Arabidopsis thaliana: one gene and its partners. The main gene of each other region encodes a partner of the protein of the gene in region 2 in a complex. Each region holds a gene or a part of one and is shown on either strand. Other genes may lie near its edges. A codon is read from its position in the direction of its gene.

Region 1 (6,015 bases), on a different chromosome or scaffold from region 2:
TAACAAAACAGAGAACTAAAAAATCTCTTCATTTTTGTTTACTATACCTTGGATCAAAGTCATGATTTTGCCAGATAGTTGGAATTAGGCAGGTAAGGGCACGAGGGACGAGCACTCTAACGAGTGTCTTATTATTTTTAGCCAATGCCCTTTGCCAAATTCCTGTAAGAAATTCACATTCCCTAATTACAAATCAAATTCGAACAACGATAACGATGAACATGAAGTTAAGAAAACAGAACAAAACAGAGAGACAATTAAAAGATAAATTACCTCTGCAAAGAGGAAATGAGAGGAAGGAGAAAGATAAAAGGAGAGTGAGATTGCTCCGAAAATCTCTCAAAATCGTTCCATTGGATTCTCAACTCCATTAACGTCGAGGTAAAGCTCCACCTCATATTCTCTCTTTCCCCAACCATTGATTCTTCTTCTTTTTTTGGTCACTGTTTTGTTTTTGTTTTTCGTTATGCAGTTCTAATTATACAAACTTAGAAACAGAGGAAGAGAGATTACCTGTCCCTCGCTCTTTCGTTCACATTATACCGCCCACGAGTGTTATACTGACACGTGTCAATTATGCACGAGTGTTATACTGACACGTGTCAATACTATTGAGATTTGAGAGAGGCAAAAACACTTTCTTTTACCGCAAGAAACTCAGAAAGCCTTAAGAGGCTGATGTCAGCACATGAACTTTTTTGTTTCCCATAAATTGAAAGTTTTTGAATTTCGGCAACAACACTAAGCTACTTGATCATTGAAGGGTATGAGTAGGAAAAAAAAAAAAAGAACTCAGATGATCAAATGAAATAAATGTAAGAACAAGAAGCCATTGTCTTCGATAATCCTCCTTCGTCAATTGAGCTTCAGATCAACCACAAGCCCATCACTGAAAGTGGAGAACCAGTTTAGGAATCTGCTATGAACATCTTCAAGCTACTGACTCTGCGGATTCTGTTGTCTACTATCTCACACGGATGTGTTCAAAGAGTTCCCTTCAGTGTTGTTGTTCTTGAAGAAAAAAGAGTTTCGGTGTTTCAGGACTTGAGTAGAAGCTCTGAAGCAAGTCTCTTCAGTGACTCCGACGCTTTAAGAAGATCGGATTCCGAATGTCCCGCTGAGACGTAGAGTTTGATTCCCACAGGTAACCGGCATTTATCAAGAAATGATCTTTTAGAACTCACAACCAACAATGAGTCTTCCTTCAGAGCCTGCATGCATCTAGTCATGTCAAGAAACGGGGACAGGGTCTAGATTTGGTTTTGCAAAGAAACAATGAACTTACACGGTCAGCCATTTTCTCAAGTAGAAGCAAATCATCTTTAGCTGAACCGCTAGATTTCTCTAATTTTAAGAAAACAATAGGTGATTCCCGGTTGCTTGTTAATGACATCCCCTTGATATCTGACAATCCTGCGTTGTTCCCAGCATTTCTTTTTCAATTAGAGGAAGATAACAAACTAAATCAAACTCTAATTGTTGCTAGATTAGATTAAAACTTGAAGATCAAACCTTTCCATAACAGAGCAACATTTTGCTTCAGCTTAACTAACATATCAGGGTTTTGATCAATGACATCAATGGCGGTGATAGCAGCACTTGCAAGGTATGGTGGTAAAGAAGCAGAGAACACATATCCTGAACTGCTAAGTCTCTGTGCATTTGAGCGTCCCAGAGAAAAGTTTCTATTATCGGTAGTTTTTTAATTTTGTTTGTAATTAGTTAATCAGCATGATCGATGTTTACCTGGTAATCGATGATGCGGGCATTCCCAGTGCAAAATCCACCTTCTGTGGCTAATGCATGGCCCATTGCAGCAGTCACAACATCTATCTTCTCAATCTGTTTAAAGATAAACCGCCGTGAAATTTTTAGCATCAGGTTTGGCAAATGAGAACACTACTAAAATGTGTGTCAATCATACTTACAGGGACACTATGATGCTCTGCAAGACCTCTCCCAGAACGGCCAAGCACACCAAAAGAGTTGCTTTCATCCAATATAACACGAAACCGATACTTCTCTTTTAGTTTTACAATCTCATCCAGAGGCGCAATTTGACCTGAATTCTGTAGATTTTAACATACCCAAAGGCAAATGGGTAAGCATCACAGTTCAGGGAGAATTTTCAAAATATGGAAGCAGGAGAAGAAAGAAAACTGCCAGGTACTTGATATACAGCTTCAGCTACAATATAACGCCTCAAGTTCTTTGAGCGCTTGTACTTTGTCATGATTTTCTCAAGGGTAATTCGAAGGGATTCCATGTCATTGTGCTTGAAGTACACAATTGTACTTCTTGAAAGCTGAAGTCCATTTTGTATTCCCCAGTGAACACCCTCATCACTAAGAAAATAGAAAAGACAAGAATGAGTTTAATATCGAGATAAAAAAGTTTCAAACAAAGATGTTCAATGTAATCCTGGGATTTCTACTAACGTAATCTAATAAGTAGAACGATGTTATAAGAAATTGTGTACTTACGCAACAATGACATCGCCTTTCTTACAGAAACAAGGAATTGTGCTGAACATTGTGGAAAGTCCATAAGAGTAAAGGATTGAATCAGGAGTACCCAAAAATTTGGATATTCTGGTTTCGCAGTCAAGGTGGACATCTAGTCAAGAGAAGTAATCAAACAGTAAGAACCCTTTCCAAGCGAGCCAATGGATGAACCAAAGTATCTATTTAGAAAATTATTGTCTTCTTACCAATTGTACCATAGAATCCACGAGGCCCACAAGAACCGACCCCATATTTTTCTAATGCAGAAGTACATGATTCCTGGCATAAGACAAATCTTAAATAAAACTATTCAAACAGAAGAGAGATTGTATTGAAAACAAAGTAGCTTCACGTTACCAGCAACTTCTCGTGGCCAATGAGCCCAAGATAATTAGCTGAGGCAAAATTCACCACATCTTTTCCATTAACTGTTGTATGCGGTCCAGCAGCACTGTATGGACCCAACAAAATCTTTAAGCATAACACAGAATAAGGCTATACAACGAACTACATAGAAGTCTTCTACGTTACCTTTCAAGAACTGGTGGCTCATGCTTCATGTCTTCAGTAATTGGCGGTATAAGAGGTTCAGGAACCCACTCATCACACAACTCATCTATTTCCTGAGTAATAAAAAACCCCGAAAACTCAATACATTTCAACTATACCACACATCAAAGATGTCACCACGAACCAAATCCTATGTGATCTATCAAACCAATATCAAGAAAGGATCTGAGACAGAACCTGCTCGGTCAATGGTCGCTTGGGAGGTTTATAACTCTTCCGAGTGAGGAGAATGATAATGACAACACCCAACAACCCTTCCACAAAGAAGTGCCCTGGAAAACGAAAACAAAAACAAAAAAGTTGAAATCTTTAGTAATCTCAAATAACCAACAAACTTGGATAGACAGACAAAGTTCACTTAAAGTTGTTTCTTCAAATCTATACCTCGGATTGGGACACCAAACAAGACAACTCTAGCTGAAGGACTCTCCAGAATCATAGTAACCCAATTCAAAGCAGCATTAAACATTTCCACGAGATTCGAAGCCATTGCTAATTTGCTTTAATAAAGCTCTGTACTTTTTTCTTCTATAGTATTAATTTGCTCGACGAATCGAGCATAAGAGAAGCTAGCTCAACTTTGGGAAAACCTACAAAACCCAATCTTCAATTAGTATTACAAATTTTCAAAATTCACAACAAAAAGTGGCAATTTTGAATCCAAATTCGACCCAAAAAAAAACTATCAGGAAAGATCTGGCATCGGATCACTGAGCAACGAGAAATCGAAATCTCGGAGAACAGATTAAGAAAGTATATATGATTACAAATAGATCCGACAAATAAACGAGGAACGTTACCTGATCCCAATTGGATTTTGGGTGGCAAAATGGACAAGGAGCAGAAGGTATCGTGCCCACAAGAGTGTCAAACACACGAGGAGTGTTGTTCAAATTCGGCGATGCAAAAAGATTGACTTTCAACGTTTTTTCGAGATTTTTGATAACGCAGACGGCAAAAAAAAAAAATCAATTTCAGAGAGAAAAAAAAAAAAGTAAAAGAAGAAGACGAGCGGATCTGTCTATGTTCGTAATACGTCAGTAGAATCCTGGGCCCAGATCTGTGTGTTGGTTCATCGATACGACGCCGTTTAAGTGTTAGATATGGGCCTAGAGGCCCAATGTTTCAACAGCACACACTGTGACACAGTCACTAGTAAGCATTCATCACCACCACTAAAGTCTTAAAGGACAATGCAAAGAGAGAAAGAAAGAGTACTAAAGCCTAAAGGTAAGGAAGAGACAGAAAGAGGAAAATGGTGGTCACACACACCAATCATCACCACTCATTCTTGTTTAGCTTTTTTCTAACCTTCTTGTAATCATATTCGACCCCAAAGTTCCCCCTACTTTTTCTGTAATATTTTGTAGCATTTACATTACACTATACATATATTATTCCTATTCTGTTCAACCATAGTATCATATCATATTCATATTTACATCTCACGAATTAGTTGCTTAGATACGACGTCATTTTAATGGAACGGTCTTAGGTTTTAAATATGGGCTTTGTTAGAGGCCCAATGACTAACTTTTAAGTGATTAACTTTTCACCACACTTGAAAAAACAAAACGTAAGCAACAAGAGAGAGACGATCATGGTTGAAGAAGAGATTATATGAAGAAAAAAGATTGATACGTTACGGTTTTGCATTAATCCCTCAAGCGACACGCGTGCGTCCCCCTCGGCCCTCTCTCTAACCACAAAAACCTTATCATACCAAGTACCAACACACAGTCTCTCTCACCTAACAGAGCATTTACACTACCCTTATGACGCAACAAGCATTCATGACCACCACTAAAATCTTGAAGGCAAGGCAGAGAGAGAAAGAAGATTACTAAAAAAGCCTTACGGTAAGGAGAAAGAGAGAAAAAGAGAAGGAAATGGTGGTCACACACACACACACACCAATCATCATCACTCATTCTTGTATAGCTTTTTCTACCTTCAAAAGTCAATCAGTCTTCTTCCTCCTATCTCCCAAAGTTTCCTATACTTTTTTGTATGTTTTGAAACATTTACATTACAATTAAAAATATCATCCATATTCTATTCCACGATTTTTCATATAAATCACCAAATAGATTCTAGCAAGGGTAATTTTTCTAATGAAATTTAGTTTATGTTTAAACGAATAAAAGTCCTTAAACAAGAAATGGCAATAGAGTCCACCACGCAAAGCAAGAACAGAGTCTAGCACTGATAGCAAGAACAGAGTAAAGAAAGTACAAACATTACATGAAGCCATCATGATGTTGTTTGACTAATTTATCCTTTATATTTACATGAAACATTATCCTCTACTTTGTTTATTCCTATTTTTGGTCACTTTGGACTACACCTGCCATTTCTCCTTAAACTAAATTCATCCAACCAAAGAAAAATTTATTTTCGTTGAATCATGACCAATGATGAACGAATCCCACATCGTATTTTCAAGAAAGAAAATAGATGGAAAAGTAAACACACAAAAAAAAAGGTAGGGTAATGGAAGAATGAAGTGACAGGCCAAAGATTTCTCCTTTAAGAAAAGCAAATTCTAACACCAAAAGAACAAACCCTAACCCAAAATTATACTAAATTTCTTCACTTTTATTGTTATTGTGATGGATAAGAAGGATATGGAGAGAGAGTTTTACATGACAGGAGGAGATGGAAAAACTAGTTATGCCAGAAACTCTTCCCTCCAGGTAGGTTCTTGAGATTTCCCACATATCTTCACTTAGTTCATAATTTTGACTCTCTATAACCACTTTTCCTGTTTTAATCTTGTAGAAGAAAGCATCTGATACGGCAAAGCACATAACACTAGAGACACTTCAACAACTCTACAAAGAGACAAGACCAAAGAGTTTAGGAATAGCTGATCTAGGATGTTCTTCAGGACCAAACACTCTCTCCACCATTACAGACTTCATCAAAACCGTCCAAGTTG
Region 2 (4,261 bases):
ACCCTACTTTCGATTTAATGGATAAGATGTTTTTATTTATTTTCTTACATTGGACCACAATAAGAAAAAAAAAAAAAAAAATCATTAGTCTTATTCCAACTTTAATTAGTCATTCTTTCGTTTTGTCGGCTTTAATTTTGCAGGATATATCATGTTTTCGGGGTCCAATTAGCATTCTCTTTTTTTTTTTAATCACGTTAATTGATTACTTTTGTTAGCTTTATTCAATTTTGAAGAGGGATTAACTATTTTGTATACGTACACCATGATATAATATCCATCCAGGTGGACTTTAACTATGACACGTGTCATTAACCAGCTGTTAGAGATCTTGTAGGCAGCCACGTGTTCTTTAGATCCCACTGAATCATTACGCTCAATCGAAAACATTCTGGTGTTATGATAACTCATGAGTCACCACGACAGGAATCTTTGGGCCATTGTTAAATTCAATTATTGTTCAAGCCCATATTGCTATTAGGCCCATTATCTGAAGTGAAGTGGGGAGATGAAGGGAAAGCTTTTTCGTGTCTATTATAAAAGGTAAAAGATGAAAGCTTCAAAATTAGAGAGTTTACTTACAAATATCCAACAAAAAACATGACTCGAGAATTAAACCAACTCATATGAACATTTACACATATATATGTTCGCTTATATCCCCTTTTCCTTCTTTCAGGTGTTCTCTTGCCGTAAAGGAAACTTATTTATCACCATTGATACCAAAGATGCGTACCTTGTGCATGTTGGGGAACTTGGCAACAACGAGAACCATCACAGCGAGTGTGTTGAGGAACAGCCATGGATGTCTGTAATCTGTTGTATGCGATGCAATCAAGTACCTGTTTTAAATGTGTCGTTATAAAGTCAGAAAACAAGTACAAAAGCTAAAGAGCTCAATCTTAAAAGTTCATCCAGATAAATGCAGCTCTTGTTTATACACATTATCGCGTATACAGAGTTCTCTAGAACTAGTCCGTTACACATCACCGGATTTAGATATGTGTATTGAGAAATTAGCATATTTATTAACCATATGAGACACAAGGATATATGCAGCTAAAGAAAATAATTTGCTAAGAAAATATAGATTGGAAATAGACAAGAGTGGTGAGATTTTGAGGAACAAGGTGCTGGGACTTACAGAACAACAGGAACTAGGGTAAGAAATTTGCGGTTGCGGGTAAGCTGTTGACCATTGTCCATTTGTTCCCACCAAGTTAAACCATTGTAGATTCCTTGGTCATCTGCAAAAGGAGTTCCTTTCATCCAGTGGAAGCTGTGATACGTTACCTGACAACAAATATCCACAAATTTCTACTCAGACATCACATTTTCCTAAAGAGTAATTAGAAATTAGATTAAATTTGGTTTTGACAATCAAGCAATGCCAATTTACAAGTCACCGCATTATATCAAACAGTTAGACCTTAAGAAATTGCATTGATGCCATAGGTAGTTTTAGTTTCTGATATCAAAAACTGATAATTCATTAACGAGAAGGTGCATCTTAATTCGAAGCCTGATCCAAAACCGATCAATTCAAACTTAGAAGAGAATTGCATCTTACTTAAAAGCCTGATCAACTCAACAGTCAACACTGCTGATAGTATCCAAACAGATCAATTCAAAATCGCTGATACCAAAACTGATCAATTCATTGATAAGAAGGTAACTGTATCCTAATTCGAAGCCTGATCCAAGCTCAACGATATACGATAGCTAAAACTGATCAATCAGAAGGTAATTGCCTCTTCATTCGAACCCTAAACCAACTAAAAAATTGCTAATAACCAAAGAGATCAATTCAAACACTAGAGCCAGATTCACATCCAGATCTCAGGAAATAAAAAAAAAACAAGGAATCAATCCATCATCTAATTTAAAGTCACAACCCTAAGTGAAAAAATCATCTCTAAAGCATAAACACAATCGAAGACTTACAACGAAGTGAGCGAGATTAACAACAGTCCAAGCCATTCCAGGGGAACAACCAGAGACAGAGAGAACAACGAGCCAACCGAAGAAGAGAATAAGCATGTAAGTCGTCCAAACTCCTGGATACATGAACCATTCCGTATTCCTATTCATATCCGGTGGTGGAACCGCTTTCACATACAGATTCGCCATTTCTTCTTCAATCAGATCGGATCGGATCGAATCTCGTCTTCTTTTGATCAAAATCTTATATTAACACCTGAACTAAAAACCCAGATTCACAAAATTCTCTATTTCGGCGAGAACAAGGATTGTTTGTTTCTTTGGTTTAATTTTGTGTGCCCGTGAAAGACGACGACTGCTTTTTTGCATCTACACTGGGCATTAATTAATTATTGGGATATTTTTGACATTACCCAAACCAAAACGTCTGCGTTTTCATTTTGTACAGACAGAAAATAGGCCAACAAATGCAATAAAGGGAACATAAAACCAACATGAGGATTCTAACTGAAATGTTTTCTTATGTATATCGAAATTCGTGAACAAAGGTGATAGGTATCTGTTTGTCACCTAACATAGTCGGTATCAGAATCTTCTTCTTCGTCTTCTTCTTCTTCTTCACCTTGCTCAATGGTCTTTACGTCAAGGTTGAGAGCCAAATCCTCAACTGAGACCTTAATGACGTCGCTTCTAACACCAATATCGGTAGCATAGCGACTCATACAGTACATACCAGCAGTAACTGTTGCCACACCAATGGGACTTGGAATAAGCAATTTGAAAGGAGAAGAGAGGAGTGCAGCCAAAGGAGCACCAACAATTGAAGAAGCTTGACCGCTTCTCCCTACACCGAGCTTATCCATTATAAGCAAACCGGTCTTGCAATAGAGCGCGAAATCCTCACAGTTGTTCTTGAAAATGTCGTAGTTGCCAAATCCGTTTTGGAGAAGGTACATTGCCCTGTGGATGACTGAATCAGTTGTATCAGATTGCGCGGTTGTGCAAGTCCCTCCGCGGACTTTGGTTAGGAAAACCGATGGACTGACTCCATATTCGAAGCAGTAGAGTGAGCCGTTCTTGAGGAAACAGTCTAAGCAAGAAAGGACTACTCCACTGTCCGGTTGTCTGAAACCGCAATCAGGAAATATGGAACAGATATCTTCAGAGGAAGATGATGATATTGATGATGTTGATGAATCCATGGGGTTGTGTTCAGGTCTGAAATGAACAACTTTGGACCCACCGACAAAGATTCCTGCAAAAATCCACAATCAAATCAAAGCCCATGAAGGAATGTCTACAACAGTATCAATTCTTCATCACCAGAGGAAATTGGGATAAAAATATGTCAAATAAACAAAAATCATCTATAAAGTCCATCAGAGATCAGAAGATATGATGGAATAACATCAAAATACAGAGCCAGGGTGAAATTAGGTCATGCAAAGATTGGAATATAGACCATTGTCTTCAAGATCTATCTAGATAAAGTCGTCAACTTTGTGAATTTACAGTTTCAATAAGAAGATTAAACCGACCAGTAGAAACTAAAAGAAAAGACTTGCATTGAGGATAATTTCACTTTTTGATGTTATGATTGAATGAACGAGAAAGAAAGGAGCAAACTTGGGAAGAATGAATCTAAAGTTACCGTGGTGAGAATAAGCGAAGATTGCTCTGTAAGTATAGATGTGATCTCCTGGCTTTAGCTCTTCTCTCTCAATCTTGTTCGTAAGCAAACCCATTTTTCTTCTTCTCTCTCTCTCTGCACAAAGCTTTTTTTTACCTTGCTTGTGGAAAATGCAGGAAACGGCGTTACAAGTGTAAGCTCTAACGGTGGGATCTGACGTCAGCGAGATAGGTAAGGTAAAGTAACGTTTTTTGGAGTGGCATTATCTAATTCGATAAACGAACTAGAGAGAGCTGTTGAGCAAACCCGTTACAGAGTCTTTTAACGGCGTTATCTCCAAATCCAAATGCTACCAACGTACTGATTTTCCGGGGCCTTTTGACCTTGATTCCAGGCAGGGGTAATACGGTCACTTCACAGCTTGGTGGTCGTTGAACTATGAAGTAAACCAACCAGAAGCAAGAAGAGAACGACTTGGTCAAGCAAAGGATTTTGTTTACCACACGACATCGTTTTTAATTGCAAATCTGAAAGATTCTTCTGCTTTTATTTTTTCCAAAGGTCCCAAAAAAATATATCAATTTACAAGAATCAAGATGATGACACACTGACACTGTATGTATCTTTCAAATACAGATGCTCCAGTTGTAAACTTTGACATCAAACTCTGCATGTTCTTCCAATCTCTGT
Region 3 (6,094 bases), on a different chromosome or scaffold from region 2:
TTTCATTACGATGGCACTCTTAAGCAGTCTAGTATCTAGAGTGTAGACAATAGACATGCATGGTTATTGAGACTGTTTACCTAATCTCATTACCATTTCCTCAGCCAGTTGATAGATCATGCTTCACTTTGGCTTCTTGTGTTTTTTTCCTCTTCATCATATTTTATTTGTAAATAGGTGATCGTGTTCACAAACTATATACGTTATACATTATTATTTATAAATGAAAAACCGGAATTGGTTAGTAAATTAAACCAATTATGATATGTGCTTGGTGCGTATGTGTATATGTATGTCTATAACTCTATATATCCTTTATATAAACTCCCACTATGGCACTCTCATCTTTGCCGTTAAGATATGAATTAGATATAATTCATCAATTATAAGGCAAAACTTTCGAATATGGTTGGATTTTAGTAGAGCTGGCCGGCAGCTTTGGTGCACAACAATTGTCTCTCTTCTTTACAAAATTTATATATATTATTATGTTGCTAATTAAGTTTATCTGCTCAGACGTATAAGATATTTGTACTCACATATTGCATATCGTACTGTATATGATAATGGAATGTGCTAAGGATATATATATTTAAAACGTTTTCATAAATCTCATCAAGGACTTGATCTTTTTATAAAAGCATTTTCGTGCCTTTCTAGGTGTATGGACGTATTTAAACGAAGGTTTATCTAGTCCTTCCTCAACTTTATTAAACTGTATGCAAATTAATCAGTTAGTTGTTTATTTTGTAGACCAAATATAATCCGAGTCTATATTCATTTGCTGATTCAAAAAGAAAAAGTATATATATATATATATATATATATTTTTTTTTTTTTAAAATTAAATTCAATTAGGTTTAATAAAATTATACACCGGACTAAAATAAAAAACCAATTTGAATTATTCATCCTTCAAATAATTCTTGGTAAGTTAAACGAAACCAAATCAAACATAATCACGAATTTTCCTTACTCACTCGTTTTATGCAAGATGAAAATTACAAATCGAATAAATATACCAAAATATCAAATTAAAAGTCACATACATATAGTAACGAAATCGAAATTTGAGAAGGAAAAATTGATTTTTATTTTCCTCTCGCTTGGTTGGTGCATGCACGATGAAAATGTTTTATCTTTTTTTTTTTTTCTCTCAAAAACCGACTTGACATTGTATCTATCGGAGTGTTGTAAATTATGTAACCTCTTTTGATAAAGACGAGACTCTTTTTCATCGCAACAATGACATATCCTAATTCTTAGAAATCCTTATTTGGCTGCTATAGAAGAACAACATATTTTTTTCTTTTTCCACCAGCCATTCTCCCATCTACTCGTTGGTGCAATATTCACATGGAAAACAGTTGGATTTAAAGGAGATTACAAAACTTAATTCATAAAATCGAACTCTATATATGGAAATTAAGGGTGACATATTAAATGCAATTCAACCCAACTAAAAATGTTGCAACCGAAACAAATCAATCAAACTAAAATAACATGCAAGTCCAAATATATCATAATACTAATAAATATGATTCTTTTGTCTCATTAAGCATCTGGTTCTATGGTGTAGTGGTTAGCACTCAGGACTTTGAATCCTGCGACCTGGGTTCGACTCCCGGTAGAACCTCATTTTTTTCTTTCTCCAAACTAAATTTTAAAGTTCTAAACAAACAGGTCATCAGCTATCACATTTGGGCCTAGTTTGAATTAGTGGACTCCAAGGCCCAAGATACGTAAAATCGCTATTTCGTTTTAAGGTTCTAAAGATAAATTATCTGTACTATTAAATATTTTAATATTAAAAAAGAAAAGAAATGGTTTTATGATCCGATCCCTTCTCAATCTCACGGAGGGGAAAAGATTCCTCCAATTCAAATCTCTGTCTGTGTCTCTGTCTCTCAACTTTCAATTTCTGAGAGAGTCGGAAATATTCTCCAGATCGCCTAAGGCAAATTCGTTTTCCGATTCGGCCTAGCGACGGCGAGAGAGGAGAGGAAGAGGCAAGTTGATTGACCGGAGAAGAAGACGAAGCCGTTCTTGGAGAAAATGATAACGATTCCTTATTTAACCGCTGTATCCACCTACTTCAGCTATGGATTGCTCTTTGCTTTTGGTCAGCTCCGAGATTTCTTCCGTCGCTTCATTGATTGGTGGTTCACTAGCAATCTCCAGGTCTGTCTGTTTTCTCCAGTATATAATGTACGTAGATGTGGATCAATGTACAAGTTTGTTTAACTTTATGCTTCTTATTCCGGTGAAATTGGCTATCGACAGGGATACGCGCCGATCTGTTTGGGGCATGAGGATTTCTATATCAGGCGATTGTATCATCGGATTCAGGTAAATTCATTATCAAATCTATGATTCTGTTAACAAAATCGAATTGATTATTGGCATTGTAGTTATGCAAGCTTTAAGCGTTGTGAATGTTTGGCTTATGAGTTTCTCGTGTTTACTGCTTGATGACTAATGTTTATCTCCGTTTTGCTTCAAGGATTGTTTTGAACGACCTATATCGAGTGCACCTGATGCTTGGTTTGATGTGGTTGAGCGCTACTCTAATGACAACAACAAGACGCTTAAGTGAGTCTGTCTACTTGTGTTTTTCTATCAGTAGTCGTAGCTTCTTTGATTCTGTTGGGAGAATATGAAAATGCTGAATTCGAATGGTTGATACAGTCTTGTAAAATTGTCCCATTCAAGTTTAATTAGGGGAAGATTTGAATTCTAAATTAAGAAGGTTGCTGAGTAAACCTTTGTTGGTGTTGACTCTGTGCAGGCGAACAACAAAAACTAGCAGGTGCCTCAATTTGGGGTCCTACAATTATCTTGGGTTTGGTTCTTTTGATGAATATTGCACGCCTCGTGTTATTGAGTCCTTGAAGAAATTTTCAGCAAGTACATGTAGCTCTCGTGTTGATGCAGGTAAAGTGTCTTTGCCTATAGATTCAAGAACCATTTTGGCTCTGTTTCTAAACAAACTTTTTTCTGCTATCAGGAACTACATCCGTGCATGCAGAACTTGAGGAATGTGTTACTAGGTTTGTGGGAAAGCCTGCTGCTGTTGTTTTTGGCATGGGCTATGCAACAAATTCGGCTATCATTCCAGTCTTGATTGGAAAGGTATGCATTGGTTTACCCTTTATGATGAAGGCGTATGTTGTCTCTTTTCTAAAACCCATGCTTAAGTTGATATTTTTTCCTGTGATGTCTTGTATACAGGGAGGGTTGATAATAAGTGATTCTTTGAACCATAGTTCTATTGTCAATGGTGCTCGAGGTTCTGGAGCCACTATCCGTGTTTTCCAGCATAACAGTAAGCATTTGTTGTGTTTCAGCTTCAGAGGTTCTTTCCATATAATGGATGGCTTACATGTATATTCTCTTGCTTGTGTTTCTTAGCGCCTTCCCATTTGGAACGAGTTTTGAGAGAACAAATTGCAGAAGGTCAACCTAGGACACATCGACCATGGAAGAAAATTATTGTTGTTGTTGAAGGTATTTACAGCATGGAAGGGGAGATTTGTCATCTACCGGAAGTTGTGGCCATATGCAAGAAGTATAAGGTGAGACAATATTCCTGAATTACTGATTATGAGAATTGGTTGATAACTGAAACTATTTTGTGTGTGCAAATACCCCTTAAAAAGTAACTGGGTTCACTATGTGCCACATTCAATATAAGCGATAAATTAAGGAACTCTATTGACTAAAATTACCCTTTGAAATGCCATATTTTCTAAACTATTGGGAGTTTTTTGTTGCGTGAAAAGATACACCTAACTTATCTTCTATCTTCGTTTCAGGCATATGTTTATTTGGATGAAGCTCACAGCATTGGGGCAATTGGTAAAACAGGAAAGGGTATTTGTGAACTCCTGGGAGTTGACACAGCTGATGTGGACGTAATGATGGGAACCTTCACAAAATCTTTTGGGTCTTGTGGTGGCTATATTGCTGGATCTAAGGTTAGAAAATGCTACATTTGTTTTTATTTACTGATCTTGCAAATCTCCTGCAGTCTTGTTTTGGTAAATCAAGTTTCTGACCTTTTAGTTTAGCTCAAAAAGAATATTGATAGCCGTAACTTTCACTCAAATATAAACCATTAACCAAAAAAACGCTCACTCAAAAGTCAAAACTTATTTTGAACCTGCGAAATGACGATTAGTATATATATATAAAGGCCTTCAGTATCTATACGACATACCATGTGATACTTAGGTAAGCTGTACACTTCTTAAATTCAACAAAAGTATAATCAATTTATTATTTTTATTCAACTTCTATAGGAGCTCATCCAATATTTGAAGCATCAATGCCCAGCTCATCTTTACGCAACATCCATACCAACTCCTTCCGCACAACAAATTATATCTGCCATTAAAGTTATTCTGGGAGAGGATGGTTCAAATCGAGGTACTCGATTTTTTTTCTCACCGTGTCATTAATTGGCCTCATTTGGGTCACTGAGCACAATCTAATCAGGTCATGACTCATAACCTAAAAACTCCCATTCTTCTCAAATACTGAACAGGGGCACAAAAGCTAGCAAGAATACGTGAGAACAGCAACTTTTTCCGGGCTGAGCTGCAGAAGATGGGATTTGAGGTACTTGGAGACAATGATTCCCCAGTCATGCCTATAATGCTTTACAACCCAGCAAAAATCCCAGCTTTCTCAAGAGAATGTCTGCGACAAAAAGTAAGTTCTATTATTCAAATCCAAATATCATATGAGAACTCGATTAACACAAGGTAACAAGATCAAAAAGTAAATGATTAACTTGTGGGTGCAATGGAACCTTGAAACTCTGAACAGGTGGCAGTGGTGGTCGTGGGTTTCCCAGCTACACCTCTACTGCTGGCTAGGGCACGTATTTGCATCTCCGCATCTCATTCAAGAGAAGATCTTATAAGAGCCCTCAAGGTAAAATATTGCATTCTACCCACTTGTGTTTTTTTCTTATTACAAATAAGCGCTATTCCACAGAAGTCCCAAAGCACAAAACTGCTAAAATAGATCTATATGCTTCGATAGAGCTCGGTTTCAATGCAAGACAAGTTTTGAATCAATGTGTGTGGTTTTGTGTTGGACAGGTTATAAGCAAAGTAGGTGACCTTAGCGGAATCAAATATTTCCCGGCAGAGCCGAAGAAAATAGAACAGTCGAAAAACGACATCAAGCTGGATTGAAGAATTAACCAATGAAATAGAGATGCATCCAGGAAAACGCAAGCAAATGCTGTGTTATGTGTTAACTTCTCCATATCTCTCTGATGTGACACAAATCTGATTTCTCAGGGGTCCAGCCATTTCCTCTCTAAGTAAAACACAAACCCAGAGTTAGTCCACCTTTCCTCAAGTCTTGTTTACCATGGTGCTACTGCATTTATGTGATTCTTCATCCATGTTTTTCCAAGAGTTTAAATGTATAGTAATATCGTTGAATGATGTCAGAGTTCTTTTATTACTCCGGACAACAACTGTTTTCTATGTTTGGATTATTTGTATCAAAAGGTTTTGGATAAATTGGTCAATTAAGTTCCCAACCATCAAAAACCACAAGGTACAACAATCACAAATAAGTTAATCCTTCTTCATCTTCCTCTACCATTACAACAAACTAACTAAAATGTTACATTCAAACCAAAAAAACATCAAAAGAGAGAATTAAGTTTCAGACATTGCCAATGGCTGGTCACAAAAAACAAAACTCTTCCACCATTTTTCACGAGAACTCCCTCCCAAGCTTCTGAATTGCACAATACATCTTCCTCCTAGACCCAACAGCATTAATCCCCATATCTTTAAGATCCTCCAATGTCAACAATGGTAACACTTGTTCATCAACTTCATGCATCTCAAACATTGGCCAATATCTCCCTAACCCTAACTCTTGTAACCATATCTTCACTCCTTCTTTTCCTCTTCCTCCACTTTGCCAATCTCCTAACAATTCAACCTCTCTATTCTCGTACCGTCTTCGTTCTTTCATCGGACTCTCCGAATCTTCTCTGCTGAAATCCCTAAACCCTTCTTCTCCTCCCAATTCTTCATCCTCTTCCTCTTCTTCTTCCTCTCCA

The links.
Region 1: the proteins of AT1G01230 (region 2) and LCB1 are in contact, whole or in part, in a cryo-EM structure (PDB 7YJM), measured with the Arabidopsis thaliana proteins. Residues at the interface, in NP_563622.1 of Arabidopsis thaliana: Gly95 (codon at 1,197), Gln96 (codon at 1,194), Gln97 (codon at 1,191), Leu98 (codon at 1,188), Thr99 (codon at 1,185), Lys103 (codon at 1,173), Thr106 (codon at 1,164), Leu107 (codon at 1,161), Val110 (codon at 1,152), Tyr113 (codon at 841), Leu114 (codon at 838), Ser117 (codon at 829), His118 (codon at 826), Tyr122 (codon at 814), Pro143 (codon at 751); in NP_001031796.1 of Arabidopsis thaliana: Gly36, His37, Val40, Glu41, Leu44, Ile48, Leu51, Leu52, Arg54, Lys55, Ser56, Tyr57, Lys58, Pro59.
Region 3: the proteins of AT1G01230 (region 2) and LCB2 are in contact, whole or in part, in a cryo-EM structure (PDB 7YJK), measured with the Arabidopsis thaliana proteins. Residues at the interface, in NP_563622.1 of Arabidopsis thaliana: Met1 (codon at 2,130), Ala2 (codon at 2,127), Asn3 (codon at 2,124), Leu4 (codon at 2,121), Tyr5 (codon at 2,118), Val6 (codon at 2,115), Lys7 (codon at 2,112), Ala8 (codon at 2,109), Val9 (codon at 2,106), Pro10 (codon at 2,103), Pro12 (codon at 2,097), Met14 (codon at 2,091), Arg16 (codon at 2,085), Glu19 (codon at 2,076), Trp20 (codon at 2,073), Tyr23 (codon at 2,064), Pro24 (codon at 2,061), Gly25 (codon at 2,058), Val26 (codon at 2,055), Thr28 (codon at 2,049), Thr29 (codon at 2,046), Leu32 (codon at 2,037), Ser67 (codon at 1,281), Met71 (codon at 1,269), Thr74 (codon at 1,260), Pro75 (codon at 1,257), Phe76 (codon at 1,254), Asp78 (codon at 1,248); in NP_001031932.1 of Arabidopsis thaliana: Met1, Ile2, Thr3, Ile4, Pro5, Tyr6, Leu7, Ala9, Val10, Tyr13, Phe14, Phe20, His51, Glu52, Asp53, Tyr55, Ser192, Arg203, Val211, Gln213, Phe430, Ala432, Thr433, Pro434, Leu435, Leu436, Leu437, Tyr471, Phe472.

The regions. Positions count from the first base shown.
Region 1 is NC_003075.7:17,216,147-17,222,161, reverse strand, and holds LCB1 (long-chain base1), read right to left. Parts: upstream 4,254-6,015; 5' UTR 3,875-4,253; intron 3,855-3,874; exon of another isoform or gene 3,746-3,854; intron 3,665-3,745; 5' UTR 3,565-3,664; coding exon 3,459-3,564; intron 3,347-3,458; coding exon 3,252-3,346; intron 3,128-3,251; coding exon 3,036-3,127; intron 2,956-3,035; coding exon 2,862-2,955; intron 2,784-2,861; coding exon 2,711-2,783; intron 2,617-2,710; coding exon 2,484-2,616; intron 2,346-2,483; coding exon 2,171-2,345; intron 2,070-2,170; coding exon 1,929-2,069; intron 1,843-1,928; coding exon 1,747-1,842; coding exon of another isoform or gene 1,723-1,746; exon of another isoform or gene 1,655-1,722; coding exon 1,513-1,654; intron 1,414-1,512; coding exon 1,286-1,413; intron 1,212-1,285; coding exon 1,038-1,211; 3' UTR 537-1,037; downstream 1-536. Other genes in the region: SFH12 (SEC14-like 12), read right to left, coding at 48-63; AT4G36470 (S-adenosyl-L-methionine-dependent methyltransferases superfamily protein), read left to right, coding at 5,687-5,770, 5,856-6,015. UniProt on the Arabidopsis thaliana protein: Component of serine palmitoyltransferase (SPT), which catalyzes the committed step in the synthesis of sphingolipids, the condensation of serine with palmitoyl CoA to form the long chain base 3-ketosphinganine.
Region 2 is NC_003070.9:95,489-99,749, reverse strand, and holds AT1G01230 (ORMDL family protein), read right to left. Parts: upstream 2,339-4,261; 5' UTR 2,131-2,338; coding exon 1,945-2,130; intron 1,294-1,944; coding exon 1,145-1,293; intron 843-1,144; coding exon 704-842; 3' UTR 510-703; downstream 1-509. Other genes in the region: AT1G01225 (NC domain-containing protein-like protein), read right to left, coding at 2,508-3,196, 3,593-3,686; FKGP (L-fucokinase/GDP-L-fucose pyrophosphorylase), read right to left, coding at 4,198-4,261.
Region 3 is NC_003076.8:7,979,834-7,985,927, forward strand, and holds LCB2 (long chain base2), read left to right. Parts: upstream 1-1,807; 5' UTR 1,808-2,055; coding exon 2,056-2,181; intron 2,182-2,283; coding exon 2,284-2,349; intron 2,350-2,503; coding exon 2,504-2,592; intron 2,593-2,788; coding exon 2,789-2,934; intron 2,935-3,007; coding exon 3,008-3,132; intron 3,133-3,231; coding exon 3,232-3,325; intron 3,326-3,411; coding exon 3,412-3,575; intron 3,576-3,815; coding exon 3,816-3,977; intron 3,978-4,301; coding exon 4,302-4,428; intron 4,429-4,546; coding exon 4,547-4,713; intron 4,714-4,830; coding exon 4,831-4,938; intron 4,939-5,108; coding exon 5,109-5,204; 3' UTR 5,205-5,558; downstream 5,559-6,094. Other genes in the region: AT5G23680 (Sterile alpha motif (SAM) domain-containing protein), read right to left, coding at 5,740-6,094. UniProt on the Arabidopsis thaliana protein: Serine palmitoyltransferase (SPT). The heterodimer formed with LCB1 constitutes the catalytic core. Involved in the regulation of the programmed cell death (PCD) signaling pathway. Plays an important role during male gametogenesis and embryogenesis.